Linked DNA regions of Rhinolophus ferrumequinum. The protein of the gene in region 1 purifies or fractionates together with the protein of each later gene. This does not show direct contact. Links are inferred from orthologs where the notes say so. Each region holds a gene or a part of one and is shown in the gene's direction. Other genes may lie near its edges.

The links. The genes of interacting proteins can lie anywhere in the genome.
Region 2: the proteins of CEP43 (region 1) and CEP78 purify together in Homo sapiens (affinity purification with mass spectrometry; 3 studies listed by BioGRID and IntAct, with this or other methods). This does not show direct contact. The link is inferred for Rhinolophus ferrumequinum from reciprocal best matches to the Homo sapiens genes CEP43 and CEP78.

The regions. Positions count from the first base shown.
Region 1 is NW_022680354.1:1,061,725-1,069,758, forward strand, and holds the start of CEP43 (centrosomal protein 43), read left to right. Parts: upstream 1-4,695; 5' UTR 4,696-4,800; coding exon 4,801-4,902; intron 4,903-5,540; coding exon 5,541-5,594; intron 5,595-8,034. UniProt on the Homo sapiens protein: Required for anchoring microtubules to the centrosomes. Required for ciliation.
Region 2 is NC_046295.1:42,818,583-42,826,262, forward strand, and holds the start of CEP78 (centrosomal protein of 78 kDa), read left to right. Parts: upstream 1-4,621; 5' UTR 4,622-4,718; coding exon 4,719-4,971; intron 4,972-7,680. UniProt on the Homo sapiens protein: Centriole wall protein that localizes to mature centrioles and regulates centriole and cilia biogenesis. Involved in centrosome duplication: required for efficient PLK4 centrosomal localization and PLK4-induced overduplication of centrioles.

The DNA.
Region 1 (8,034 bases):
GCCAGCTGTGTCACTGGATAAGCTACCTAACTTTTCTGAGCATTAGTTGCAACAAAATAACAAGTAACTCAAAAAAAAAAACATCAAGGAGAGAATGAAATGAGGTTGTACATACAAAACAACTACTAACAGTTAATACTTATTGTATGTTCTGTGCTTCAGACATTCAGTTCTACCTACGTATAGCAATCATTCTATCATTCTAACTACCTGCACGGGGAGATTTTTACCCCGTTTACAAATGGGAAACTGGGGCACAGAGAGATTAAGGAACTTGCTACAGTCAACACCACCAGAAGTGAATTTGAACCTGTGTCGTGGGGCTCAAAAGTTCCTTCTGTAACCGCTACACAAAACCTGGTATCAAGTCCTTGTTCAAATGATGAGCTAAGCAATTTCAGTAAGTGTGATAACTATTCCAATGGGAGAGACGCAGGCTTCTTCTCCTTCCCCAGCATGCTGCTGGCTTTTGCACAAACTATAAAACATTTATGGAAACACATAGGCCATTGAGCACCTTAATCATTCTCCACCTCTATGTAAACTATCCCGACCCTGACACACACAGGATGGCTGACCTCAAGAGAGAAAGCATGGATATTCCTAAGTTCACACTGAAAGGCTACCACCGTGGTTCAGTACACCTTTTCTATGTTTGACTGTTAAAGACACAGGGACTGTCTAGGCCAAAAATGTGCGACTGGGAAGTCAAAGGCATTTCCCCTGCTCTGGCCTCCTGCGCTCCCTGTCAGAGTCTGGTTGCAGAGTTGGTCCCTGTAGCACATTTGTAGCTCAGATCCATTCTCTTCTCTGCACCATCGCTGCAGCATAAGTCCAGGTCCTTCCTCTTTTTTTTTTTTTTTAAAGGCAAGTTGTCTTTAATTTTAGGTGTCAATCTGAAATATGCTGAATAAGTATATGTTCACACAAAAGCTTGTATACGAGTTTTCATAGCAGCATTGTTCTTGACAGCCCAAACTAGGAAACAAGGCAAATATCCATCATCTGATGAATAAACAAACAGCGTTGTAATACAGGGTCTCTGGTCCAGCCCTCGGCAGGTGGACAGAGAATATGGTGAGGCCAAAAAGGAACACCCACGGAGCCACAGATAGGGGTCATACCACTATATTCTCAATGGCAGCTGGTAGAGATACAAAAGTAAACATCCGCCAGTACCCCAACAGGGGGTCTTCCTGCACCCCAGTCTCACTGGCAGCCAGGCCCAGGCAAGACACAGGAAGTAGGATCAACAGGATCCGCAATCTGCCATCCGTGCTTGCTAACCCCACTTGCTAGCTGCAATCCGCACTTGCTAGCATAGCCACGGCAGTTGAATCAGTGGCCAATGGCTAACTGGTTACAGCTGATGGCCATCTGATCACAGCTGATGGCCTCTACTACCCGAGCCAGCACCTTTCCACGTGAGGTCGAGGGCCTGGAAACTGCTCTCTGGGACTCTGTCCCCACAGGCGTTCATCCATTCAATGGACTATTACCCAATATTGGTAGTAAAACATTAATCGTTGGTAGGAAATGCAGTAGGGACACAGGCTACAACATGGATGAACCTTGAATACATTAGGCTACGTGAGAGAAGCAGGTCACAAAAGACCACGTTATATGATTCCGTGTATAGAAATTGACCAGATAGGCAAAATTACAGAGACCTCAAGTAGAGTCATGTTTGCCTAGGGCTGCGGAGTGGGGTGCAGAGTGAATGCCAGTGAGTATGGGGTTCCTTTTAGGGGCACGTAACTATCCTACAACTACAATGTGATGATGCTACACATTTCCGTAACTACCAAAATCATTGTACACTTTAAATGGATGAACATATATTTGAATTATTTCTCAATAAAGCTGTGAAAAAAAGAGCATCATGTAGAATAGCTGGGATGAGGAAGTGAATTAAATAACATAAAATCGTCAACTGTGCAGTTGTTCCTTCTTTATAATGTTCTAACATAAAATATGGAGACCAAATTGGTAAAAATAAGAACAAGCTAAATGTGAAGCACATAATTAGTATCACATTTAAGGGCATTTTTTTTCATCGTTTTAACCTTAAACCATCAATTTTGGTGAGATATGAAAATTAATAAGTTAATAGCTGTCTTAACTGCCAAGCCAACCAGTGATGCATTTCCCATTTCTTCCTTCTTAATTTAAGGCTTATTTGGGATATTCTTTAAATGTAATAGTATGTTTTCCTTCAATTATTAAAAATTTTAAGCAACAATATTAAAAGTCCCATGTTTACGACTATATAGATGGCGACATCTGCAGCCTTAAATTCCTCAAGGAAATGGATGTTTTCAGACAGAGCTTTATTAATTTACTTTATTAATTTTATGATAGGAAAAACGCATGTATTTTAGGGCAAATTCCCTCATTATATAAGCCACTCCCCAGGAGTAAAGAGGTACATTAACTCTTTTGATGAAGCAGTAATTGAAATAATTAATACCATAGTGACTTGGAAAGTTATCTTCTAAAGCTGCTAAAAGAAATGAAATAGAGAATTGTAGTTTAGCTGACAGAGGAGCTCTAGTTGCAGACCTAGAAAAAGTCAAATAAGAATCAAGTGTGACTATTTAATAAAGAAAATCCCACGTGTTTCCAATAAAAAAAAGAATCAAGCGTCCCTTCCACCGCCATCACTCCCTCACCCCCGCCCCCACTCACTCACTCCTTGTTCCTTTCACTGAGCCCCACCCTGCCCCCCCCAACCCTCCCTACGAGGTCCTTTTACTCTGGCAGGAGGTTCGCTTTTCATTACTTAGCATGTTTACGCTGCTTACATAACACTTACCTTTTCATTGTTTAGAATATTAGGAAAAGTTCCTCTCTTTCCCGGATTTCAGTATTTCAACTCGTAGGAAATGAGCTGCATCATTTTCTGAGTAACTTTTTGATCTTAGACAAACCTTTCTGAGTCTCAGCTGGCTCATCATATCATCATCTACAATGTTCATGGTTATCATGCAGATAAAGTTTAATGATTTACTGCATGGAGCTTAAATTATGGCTCATTGTAGATGCTAAATGACAGCTGTTCATTGATGGTCCTCTGTATACATACGACCGTACTGAGTAGTAACAGTGTCACAGAAGAAGTATGCTGCAGTCTCCGACTGACTTTTAGGAACTTACATTCCTTTCTTAAAAAAAAAAAATGTAATTTTATTATTTCTTTTATTACATGCATGTGGTAATAGGTTCAAGGAATTTACAGCTATTCCATATGCCAAGAAATTAGTGAGCTCTTTCTCCTTGAAATCTGATGAAATAATAGAATCTGCACAGTAAATTTTCTGTAGAATTCCTGATAAGCGACAGAATCTACACAACAAATTTTCTTTAGCATTCCTGATAGGCGATTAACCTTCCTTTTCGAGTGGAGTCCAGGCCCGTCTTTCTCCCCACTGGGCTCCTGGATTGTTCAACTGTCTCCAGTGTCACTGCATCCAACTCACCCCTCCCCTCTTGCTTCTGGATGCTTCTAAAACCCAAATGAGCTAATGTCACATTCCTTTTCAAACCATGTTTAGCTTGCTATTTCACACCTTCAAGATGAAAGTCAAACTCATAGTATCAGTGGCTAATGCCCTTGCTGATCCATTGACTTCCTGTCTCCAGCCCACTTGCCATCCCTGCACAGAGCACACTGCCCTGTGCCTCTTGGCCTTGGTGCTCTGGGCTGTTAGGCTCTGTCTGCGCAGAATGCCCCTTTCTTTTTCAGGCATCAGTAAACCCCCCACTACGATTGTGTATCTCACGTCAAGTGTCCTGTCCTCCAAAAAGCCATCCCTGTCCCTTGGTCGTGCAGGGTGTTAGGTGGGGGTCTCCTGTCCCGTTCCCCGCACAAGAACGCAGGATGTGGTGAGGCCTAAAAGGAACACCCATGGAGCCATAGATAGGGGTGTCATACCACTATAGTCTCGCTGGTGGCTGGGTTGGAAACACAGGAAGCAGGAGCCACACTATCCGCAATCTGCCATACACTTCTCTGTCAACCAACCAACCCCACTTGCTAACTGCAATCCACGCTTGCTAGCTCAGCCACCACCTTCTTGCCAGCCCCCATTTGCTGCTAGCGTAGCCACTGCAGTTATATTAATGGCCAATTGCTCATTGGTTACAGCTGACGGCCAACCAGGCACAGCTGACGGCCATCCAATCACAGTTGATGGCCATTTACTACCCTAGTGAGCACCTTTCCACGTGAGGCCGAGAGCCTGGAAACTGCACTCCTGGCTCTGTCCCCACAGACCTGCTTTACATGACTAAGTCTGGGATAAGGGGCTTGGTTTGAGTGCCCCAGAAGCAGACCAAGAGACAACAATTGAGTGTAAACAGTTTTTTGGGAGGAGATCCCAAGAAACACCGGTGGGGTAGTGGGGAAACAGGACAAGGCAGGGAAGGAAACGACAAAGGCTGTGCTATCAACTTACTTGTCTGAAACGTAACTTACTTTTAACCAAGTGGCCCCGCCCCCATCCCACTGCCTCACTCCAAGTTCCCGGGTCCCCCCGCCCCCAAGCCAAGGACCCAGGGCCTCGCTCCGCCCCAAACCCCGGCCCCGCCCTACCCGATCCATGCCACAGCCCCGCCCCTGACGCCCCGCCCTAGGCCCCGCCCCCGGCGTCAGGTTGCGCTCCGAGGCCCCGCCCCTGGCGTGAGGGGCTGCGCACCGGCGCCGGGGCGTGGTCTCGTTCGCGTTGCCGCACGCCGCGAGAAATCTGCGGCGGCCGTTGGCCGTTGGCGCGGCTTGGCCGGTTGTCTTGGAGAAGCAAGATGGCGGCGACGGCGGCTGCGGTGGTGGCGGAGGAGGACACCGAGCTGCGGGACCTGCTGGTGCAGACGCTGGAGAACAGCGGGGTCCTGAATCGCATCAAGGTGGGGCGGGAGACCGGGCCGGCAGGGCCTGGCGGAGGGGAGGCCGGCCGCGCCTGCGGGCCGTGGAGCATGTGTGGACGGTTGGCGTCACAAAGGGACGCGGGGTGCGTCAGGCTGGCCTCCCGGGCAGGGTCCGGGCCCGTGGGCGGGGGCGGGCGACCTCGGGGGTCGAGGGTCACTCCCAGGGAGACCCCGGGCCGCGCGGCGCCTGCGGGAGAGGAGGCCGAGCAGCGGCTTGCGGGCGGTTGAGTCGCCCGGCGCTCCTCGAGTCCCGGGCGGTGGCGGGGTTCCCTCCGGGTCGCTGTAACTGGCGGGCTGCCGGCCTGGCGGGGTGTTTCTCGGCGAGTCCAGCTCAGACCTGTCGGGGCTCGTAGGCTGGGCTAATCCGGAGGGTGGCTGCGGAGGGACAAGGCCAAGGGGCGCGGAGAGCTTGGGGCACTGTTCCAACGCCTCTGGGGGCTTTTCTGGCCTCTTTGCACCTGCCCACTAAGCATTGTCTTGCCAGTGTGCGTTTTTGACTTCAGATGGTGTGGGTGGTGCCAGTGGAACTGAACGTCCTATGCTTTTCTTGTCCTGAAAATTGTCTCGAAGCAGTTTCTGTTCCATTACCCCCCAACTCTCCCCCCCTTTTTTTAAAGGCTGAACTCCGAGCAGCTGTGTTTTTGGCACTAGAGGAACAAGAAAAAGTAGAGGTATGAAATCTACGAATTTTAATATGACTATGTTCATTTTTGTGTCGTTTCTACTTAAAATCCATTGTAAAATACTACACGTGGTCGTGGGCACGCAGGGATCATTTTGAACTATTAAGGATTACGTTTCTTTACAATAGAGTGAACATTAACCTTTTTGTGTATATTTCAGAACTTTGGGACAATCTGAGGAAAGTTAAGGAACCACAGTACTCCTGAGGCCAATCTGAATCTTAAGTGTCATAGATCCTCTTGTATTGGGGACATCTGAAACACAAGGTCATGGGAGCTAGTGGAAGAAATGCTTCTATTCTCAGAGTTTACTGCAGGACTCCTCAGAACCTTTCCTATGCATTGTGAATCCCCACCAGCTGGGGGAAACACAGTATGCCGGTTTTCCCCAAACTGTCAAGACCACCTAGTTATTTTAAAATCATGTCATCTTTCTTGCTGTCACAAGTCCAGCCTCCTCTCTGTATTTAAGTGTTTAGTCTTTTCTCCCTACTGCAAGTCTCACCACCACCCTGAGTAAAGGTCCTGGATCCTTGTCCACATACGCACTCCATAATGAAGGTCTTCAGCTTGTTCTGTGACAAATCAGCCTCCTCTCCTGTCACTTCTTCAGACCTAGATGCCTGTGCCTCTCTAACCTCATGAACCTCTTCAGCTCTTGGCTCTTGGGTGTTCATCCAAGCATCAGTCCTCTCTTGGCTGCCGTTCGGCCCTGACTGGTCTGGACCCCATGGTCCAGATCTCCAGAAGCCTGACTGCCTGGCCTTCCCGCTATACTTGGTAAATCTCATTGGTCACTTAATTCAACAAACTAACTCCCTTCTTGTTTGTCACCCAAGCCTGTGGATTGCTGGTGTCACTGAACGGTGGTTGCAACCTGAGCAGGGCCCTGTCAGGCCCAGGCCTCTGCTGTCTGCGTAGCAGCTCCCACTCCAGCCTCACCATAGCCTTCTGCCCGACCCCCTTCTTCATCTTGACAGCGGGTCTTGTCTCTCCCTTGCAGGGAAACAGAAGCCTCAGGCGTCAAGCCCTCACTGTGTGTGTCCTCCAGCTACCCTGCGTCTGCACGCTGCACTTCTTTCCTTCCTGCTTGCTATCGGAGGCTCTTTCTTCACCAAGAATCATCACTTTCTCTGGGTTTGCCGTGCTGGTACTCTCGGCTCCTCCCTCTTTGTTGGCTCTTTTGAGCGTGGAAACAAGTTTATATCTCAAGGAGAAAGCTGTTGCCCTCGTCTCATGTTCTGCTTTTAATACCACTTTTTTCCCCCCACTGTCAAGTTTTGAAAGAATGTGTATGTCTTATACGATTTATATTCCAGGCACCTTTTAATCCATTAACGTCTTATGCTACACCTTAGTACTTTCTTTTGCTGCTGTCAAGAAGAATCCTAAGTGAGTATATGTTCTTACCTATCTTAGTGGCTCTTTGTGGCATTTGACATTCTTAATTCCTTCTTCCTTCCTGAAAATCTTTGAATTTTGGGACTTTTTTCTCTTTCTTTTTCCTTTGTGCATTCCTTGGTTTTTGCAGCATGACCTTTTCCTGGACACCGCACTTGAATTCTTGGTGCAGTATCCACAGTCCCTGTCTGGGTTCTCTGCCTGGGTGACCTTGACCACCTCAGTAACTCAGCCCTGTATCTCTGGGCCTTATCGCCCTCCTGAGCTGCCGACTGTAGGTCACACTGTTTGCCTACGGGGACCGTCACTTATCCAAGTTGGAAATCCGAGAGCCCTTGCTCTTCTTTCCACATGTCTGTCAGTTCTGTACCTGAGGTGTCTGAGGAGGTTCTCTGCTGACCTCCTGGCCTGCGCTTGATCTTTCCAAATCACTTGACCCCTGCCTTCTCTCCTTCACTGGTAGTCCTGACGTCTTTCCTCCACATCGCTCCTAGACTGGCTAGTCCTAACTCACGTTTGATCTTGCCCCTCCGTTTTCTTCAAATATTTCAGTTGACCCAATGTCTTCAAATTTCCTGGACCAGCCTACTGAGGACCTTTGTGATCTTTCCCCTTATCTTTTTTGGGTTTTCTTAAAACTTGATTGAGGTACACTTGACCTACAGTAAACTCAGCATACTTAAAATGTACAATTTGATACATTATAACATACTTACGCACCCATGGCACAGTCAAGATGGTGAACATATCCATGACCCGCAAAAATTTCTTCCAGCCCCTTGGTAATACCTCCACCTCCACCTCCAACTCTGGCACCCAAGTGTTCCTCAAAGCTGTGCAAATGGAATCACACAATCCGGACGTTTTTCCTTTTTGTTTTTGGTCTGGCTGCTTTCATTCAGCATAATGCATTTGAGATGGACTCATACTGTCATTTGTATGAGGAGTAGTTCATTCCATTTGATTCCTGTGTAGTATTCCATTGTATGAATCTATGACAGTTTATCTAGTCATTCACAAATTGTTG
Region 2 (7,680 bases), on another chromosome or scaffold:
GGGATCCATATCTTGCTTGGATTCTCAGTGAAGTTTTCCAGAGAAGGAGGCACAAGGTGGGTGACTAGAAAACTTTTAGTATTATAATAGGTAGAGCTGGAATGGAGCAAAGATACAGAGACAATTAATTAGATCCATGAAATTTTCTTTTTAAGTCTGAAAAGAGAAATTAAAGCCAACTTATGGATGGTCTTAAATGTCAATCTTAAGAGTTTGGGCTGTATTGTGTTGGCAATAGGTGTCATGGAAGGTTTGGAACTGAGTAATGACATAATCAAAGAACCTTGGGAGGTGTACCATGGTGTAAGTACCATGGCTTACTTACAGTGTAAAATGAACCACTGTAAGTAAGCAGGCCTGAAAGGAGGCCATTGCAGGATGGATTACTGAGAATGAAAGGGAGTGGGGCACAAGACAAGGCTGCAGAGATCATGTCTCCATCATGCCCAGGGGATGCAGTGCCCTGTAGACTGTTGCACTCAAAGTGCCAGTACACAATGAGATAAGGAGCTGTTCTAGAACGGAACTCAACATACTGCTTCCTTCATCAAGAAAGTCTTGTCTGCTGAACTAAACAGACATGATTTTCATTCTGAAGCAAACTTCTTATCTTAAAGAACAGTAACAGTTCTCAACCAGCAGCCAGTCTGTGGACTTCATGTTGAGTAGCATTATTTTAGACCGTTGTGAGGAAGTGTGTCTTTATGCAAGAGCAATAAGAAGTCACCAAAGGATTTGAAGAGGAGGTGGTGGCGGCTGCATTATAGACCATAGGTTGGAAGGTGGCCAGCGTTAGTGGAAAGAAGACAAGGAAGTCTGTGTCTGAAACCTAATTTTCCTGGTGAAATAAGAGGTATCCTCTTCAGGTAAGAGAGCAGAGTCTAGTGGTGACATGAAAATGGAGGCGGTTTGGAAGAACCACTGTGAATAGCTGTAAGTAAGGGAGTAGAAAAAAAGAAATGGGGACCACATGTCACTTAAAATAAAACAGCCTATGTTTTGTCAGAGCTTGGGACTGGACCTAACAAACTCATTCCTCTAAAAGCAGGTCCAGAGATGATGAATGTTAGAGATGAGCAGACAGCATTAGCACTGAGGTCCCATGGAATGGTAGGTTGGCTTGACAGTCTGAGTATCATGTTGTCAGTGTGGACTAGGAGTGAGTACAGTGAATCAGAGGTAAAACGATCCCACTTAACTGTATTCTAGCCAAACATTCACTCACCAGACCCCTGAAGGAGGAGAGCCCATCTCTTGTACTGCATGTTCTTTCCAAGTCATGTACCTGCAGGGAAGCCCAAGCACTTTGTCTTAGGACAGGCATAACCATGGTTTGTTAGAGGATCCCAGAGGTGCTGTATGGAGGCAGCTTTTGCTCACTGTTCAGGGAAGCATGTGGGTAGAACTCGCCAGATGCCAAAAGGAGAACTAAGGTAGGAGCCAAAAGAACTATTAAGCCATATTTAAATGGAAATAGAAGAGTGATTATCAGAATATTAAGCCTTGAAAGAAATCTTGCCAGACAGAAAATAAGTAAGCTTGGGGAAAGTAAATTTAAAATGAGTATGTTAATATGACGAAGGTTTCCCTGAGCTGCATCTGTAGGCAGCGGCCACAAGGTGTTGATAATGGCTTCCAGAGAGAATAGAGGAGAATGCTCCAAAAGTCATTATTCAGCATTTCCTATGTACCAACACTGTGCTAGACACAGGGAATATAGGCATAAATGAGACATGGTCCCTGCCTTCAAAGGAGTTATGGTTTATGGAAGGAAAACCACCTAAAGAGATGCTTATTATTAGATACACTAAGTGTTACCATACAGGGATGTCAGGGAGCAGAGCAGTTAGGCACTAAACAAGCAGGGAAGGAGAGATGAGGACTAGGGAAAGAAGGCCTCCCAGGGAAGGTGATCCCCAACCTGAAGCTGGGAAACACGTGGAAGGCAGCCCAGTAAGGAGGGAGTGGAGGAGGAGGGTCCTAGGCAAAGGAGCAGTACCTGTAAAGTCCCAGGTAGGAATAATAGAACATCAGAAACTTCAAGCAGTTTCACTTGTTGAGGGGACATTCAGGGAAGAATATAGCAAGAAATAAGTCAAATCATGAAGGAGCCTATGTAGCAAGCTAAAAAATACAAAATTGACACTGCAGGCACTGCACAATCTTTAGCTTTCCACAAAGCAGTCTTAGGTATGGAGAAAGAGATCTTCGTTAGAAGTCATCAGCCTAGAGTGGAAGTTAAGCCTGAGCAGGGGATCAGATCGCCCAGCGAAATTGTGAAATGTCAGAAAGGGTGGACACTGAGGATGGGAACCTGAAAAACACCAACATTTAGAATCAGCAAGAGACACCCAAGAGTGAGACAGAGAAGAAGGAATTAGAGAAGTGGAATTAGGTGGCTACATGGAAAAAAAGGAAGATTTAAGAAGATAGTGGACAACTACATTAAGTGATGCCGAAGACTATAAAAATGGATGTAGTAACAAAGAAATCATACTGAAAACTGACAACAATTTAAACTTCCATCAACAGGAAAATAGACAAATTATTGCATTTTCCTACTTGGGAATCCTATACAGCAAGGAAAATATATGAACTAGATCTTTACAAATTAGCATGGATGAACCTAGCAAAGATAACACTAAATAAAGAGGTAGCAGAAGAAAACATAGTACAATGTTATATGCTGTTTAAAAATACTTGTAAATATAGCAGAAATATACAGACATACATTGCAATGATGAATACAAAGTTCAGAAGAGAGGTATCCAAGGTCAATTAGAGAGTGGTTGTGATTGGGAGAGTGGCTCTTCAACAGGAATGGTGATATTTCATTTCATAAGCTGGTCGGAGGGTAGAGGAATGTTTGCTACACAATCATGCAGCACTTAATGACGGGGCTATGTTCTAAGAAATGCATCGTTAGGCAATTTTGTCATTGTGCGAGCATCACAGAGTGCATTTACACAAACCTAGATGGTATAGCCGCCTATATACCTAGGCTATATAGTACACCAGCATCGTAAATACAGTCAATCATTAAACGAAACGGTTAATGCGGTGCATGACTATATTATAGTTTGAGCATGTTGCATGTAGAAGTCATTATTGACCACATCTAGGGAATTTTAGTGGAGTGTGCGCATGTTGGTAGTGGGTGGGGGTATCCGGAATGCAGTGGATGGGAGAGCAATGCTGTAAACATAATGCCTGAGGCCTGGGTGGAGGACTACCATTGTTCTAGAAACTGGATATAAATACGTACAGGTTATGAGGTCAATGTTGAAAGATAAACTGAAGCGTATTTAAATTTTTAAGTTTATGTGAGCAAAAATCAATTCAAATCAGGCAGCATCAAACTGGAAGTGGTTAGGAGCGCTCCACCAGTGGGAGCTGGGGAGAGACTTTCATAGGAAAAAGGAGAAAGCAAAGGGGTTGGGGGGTGGGGGATAAGGATAAGGGGGATCAAATGTATGGTGATGGAAGGGGAGCTGACTCTGGGTGGTGAACACACAGTGTGATTTATGGATGATGTGATACAGAATTGCACACCTGAAATCTATGTAACTTTACTAACAATTGTCACCCCAATAAATTAAAAATAAAAAAAAATAAAAAAGAAAGCAAAGCAAGGAAATTATTGACTGACTATAGCTTAAAGCCTAGTTGACTGCTTGTGATTGCTTGTCCCTCCCTTTTTGACTTCATAACAGTGAGGCATTTAAGGCTTAGGCTTTGGTTTTCGTATGTAGGTCGCCACAGCATTCGAGCCACATCAGTCTAACGACTTCATTGTTTAATTAATTTAACACCAATTGTCTTGAGTTCTTCCACTTACTTAGCTGGAAGTTACTTAACTTCCCGTGCCTCGGTTTCTCTTTTGTAAAATGGATATACAATAGTAAACTTTCTGCGGAGTTGTTAAGAAAATTAAATGATTTCATACTGACTCAGTGCTTAGAATAACGCCTAGGAGACAGAAAGTACTAGTGACCACAGTTAACCATCATCATCATCCTCAGTACAAAGAAATTACTAGAAACCACAACAATGTTCTGAATGCGTGGAATACTCTACAATTTGCCAACAACTGTGTGAGATGAGTAGAAACTACAGAAATGAAAAGTTCTTTGCAGAAATTAACACAGATTTGAAAGATGTAATGGACCACAGTCGTTTCTACATCCTTTTTAACTGTACCCTCCCGGGCGCTGCAAGCACAGATATTTAGGAGGTGTCCGGAATACCTTTGAAAATGCGTTGCTACCTCCATAGCACACTTTCATTCGGATTCCCTTGGAGGGAACCCCAAAGTCCTAAAACCACATACCTCTCGCATCGCCCTCGCCTCGAAAGTCCCGCCCTTCAGTCTCCTGCGCCGTCTCCCCGAGAGGCGGGGCCTGCGTGCCGACGCACGGCGAGCGCGCTGACGCACTGGCGCACCGCCCCCGCGGGCATCCGCCCGCCGGCTTGAAACGCAGTCCCGCGCCGCGGAGAGTGATGAGGCGGGCGCTAACGGCCTGCGAGCGCGGTGTGGAGGGGCGGCCTAGCTCGGGTCCCGGGCCCTGCGTGTGCTGGCCGAGCCACTGCTCCCGCACACGGTACGCGCCGCCGCCGCTGAGCTGTGGGCGTCCGAGGGGCCAGGCAGCGACCTGGAGCTCTAGGCGGGTGCGGGTTGCGCCTCCACCGCCGGCGTCCCCCGAGGCTGCCCTCTGGCCATGATCGACTCGGTGAAGCTGCGCCGCGACAGCGCGGCCGACTTCTTCTCCCACTACGAGTACCGGTGCGCGCTGCAGGATTCGGTGCCGCTGCCCGCCGTGCGCGCCTGCCTGCGGGAGGGCGTGCTGGACTTCAACGCCGACCGCCTCCGCTTGGTGGACTGGGCGCCGCTCCTGAGCACGCTCAAGATTAATAAAGATCTGCCCCTGGTCTCTATCAAAAGCTTCTTCCAGCCGTGGCTTGCCGAAATAGGTTTGTAGTTCCAGCTTCCACCGGCCCTCGTGTTGGTGCCGTGAAGCGGGATTTTAAACGGTGCAAGGTGGAACCTGGGCGCTGGAACGGGTGCCCAGCGTCGGGGTGTGTATCCAGGGGACGGTGCGTGCGGCCCAGGAGGCTCACCAGCTCGGTGACTCTGGGCAAGTCCCTTAAAGCCTCTAGGTCTCTTTTCTTAACTGTACCATGGGCTTAACAGGACCCATTCTTTGCTGTAGTTGCAAGGATTCGCCGAGTTAATGCTTGTAGAGCGCTTAGCACAGTTCGGGACATCATTAAGCATTCGACAGATGTTACCGAGTTTTATTGAATGATTTTGCCTAACGTAGAACAAAGCGATTAGGAAATTGATACATCCCACACTTTCACTTCATTTTAAGACAAAGATCTGTTAGGGGGAAAACTTTCAATAGTAGCATTATATAGTGGAAAGAGCATAGGTGTGAATGCAGCCTACGGTTTGAATTCCAGCGCTTACACTGTGACCTGGGCAAGTTACTTTGGAACTACAATCACCACACTTGTAAAATGGCATTAAAAACCACGTTTTCCATGGATTCTTAGAATTTGCAGGTTATGTGTATGAAGGATCCTGGCACTTGAGTGAGCTCAGTCAGCATCAAGCACTGCTGGACACTAGGCTCCGGCCCTAGAGGATCTCCCTTTCTACTGGGGGAGGCTGCAAGTGAACACAAGCACCGTAGTTGGTACTCTGGAAAAAGTGAGTTATGGTGCTGCAGAGACAGAATATTTGAAGAGAAGTTTCAGGGAAGGCTTCCTGGAGGAGGTGCCATCCGTTCTAAGAATGTAGAAGCTACTCAGATGGCAGGAGGGAGCTGCTTGCGTCAAAGCTTGAGAAATATAAGGATATACGGCAAAACTAAGGTACAGAAGTAGGACTTCAGGTTTGAGAAAGAAGTGAGGGTTGAGACTAGAAACCTGGTGAGGGCCAAACGGGAAGGGGCCTTGTTTGTCCTGTCAAAAAGTTGGATGTTTGTCCTCTAGGCTGTGGGAACCACTCAAAGATGATGAGATGCACTTTTGATTTGGAAGCTCACGTTCATATGCAAGGCAATTGATGGGGGAAGAGGGCAACTTGTAATCTAAGGGCCACAATAAAAGGTACAGGTAGGGAGGACTGGGTTACAGAGATCAAAAGAGAATAGAAGCGGGAGGGCAGCAAGCTTGAGTGATAATTTAAAGCAGCACTTCATCTGTGACACGCAGAACACAGTAGAAAGGGATCGGGAATGGGGAGAGGATCTTCGTATCTGATGCTTTAAAAGCAGCCTGTGGGACATCCAAACGTGTCTGCTAGACAGGTCTAGCCCAGGGTACAGATCTGTGCTCTATGGGAGGACAGGTGTTTGAAAACATGGGAGAGGACTGCGGTGACCCACAAAGAAGATCCAGAAAATCTAGGTCTGAATGTTTGTTTTAGATGGACACACTTAATTGTTTATCAGCTGAGAAAAAGTAGCCAACAGAGAGGGAGGGTGTGAAGGTTTAGAAAAGGAAATAATTATTGATTTATTTTAAAAAACCTGAACACTTGTCATGTGCCTGGCTCTTTTCTAGGCTCTGGGGTTTGTGCCATATGTTACCTCTCCTGCAAGGACAGTTCAACTCATCACCTAGATAAGAGAACTAGATTATTCAGGTTATTCTCTGCCTCTCATTCAGGTGTAGGAACTGTTCTCTGCCTCTGAAGGGACTTGACATAACCAAAGTAATAACTTAGAAATCAAGAGAAATTCCAGTTGGAAGAGATCTCAATTCCAGTCAAGGCCATTCTGTACTTAATCTTGCTTAATATTTTACATTGAATGTAAGAAAAATGTATTGCAGAGACCATTCTCTTCAGAGTTCCTTCACTGAACCTTTGTCGCTTGCGTCCAGTGGGTCTAGCTTGTAGATTTTAATGTCCTAGATTTGTTTCTTCATCCTTAATTACATTTTACCTGGACTATTGCAGAAGCTTCTAGCTGGTTTTGCTGCCTCTGAGCTCAGTTTCTCTCAATTCATCTGCCTACTCGTCTTGAGTGATCATCTAAAACGAAAAGATATGCTTAAAATAATGCTTATAATGGCCCACTCCCACAGGATTAGTGCATGTTGGTGCGCTCAGCTTGTGTTGTGCACAGAAGTATGAAATCTGAGCTGTGCTCTGCCAAGTCTCAGGAGGCTAGTTGGCCCTGAGGAAGGGGTGCTTTTTCTAATCATTCCCTTTATCTAACTAGTTGTTGTTATAGCAGAGGAGCACTTTTTCTACCCTGTTCCAATAGTAACTGTTCCAATAGAAACTGTTCCAATAGTAGCCCAGGTCCTCGTCACCTGTGGGATAAAGGCCACACTCTCTCCCAAGCTTGCTTCAGCCAACCATTCTATTTTAATTTCTGTCTCTTCTCCCTCTTGCACACCTGGCCTTTGTTCATCCCCACCTGCAATATTGCCAGTGTCCAGCAGGTGTCAGGTTTGGAAGTCTTCGCACTTATGCTCCCTCTGCAGTTAATGCACCTCCCGCTCTTTGTAGCTATTGTCATCTTTCTAGATTCAACTTCAGAGTTATCTTGAAGCCATCACTGAAATATAACTTTCAGCTTCCATGGGAATGTCTTCGCACATAGTTTATGTTTTATATCTCGTGGTTGAAGTTTTGAGTTTACGTGTCCCTCCTTAAAGAGAACT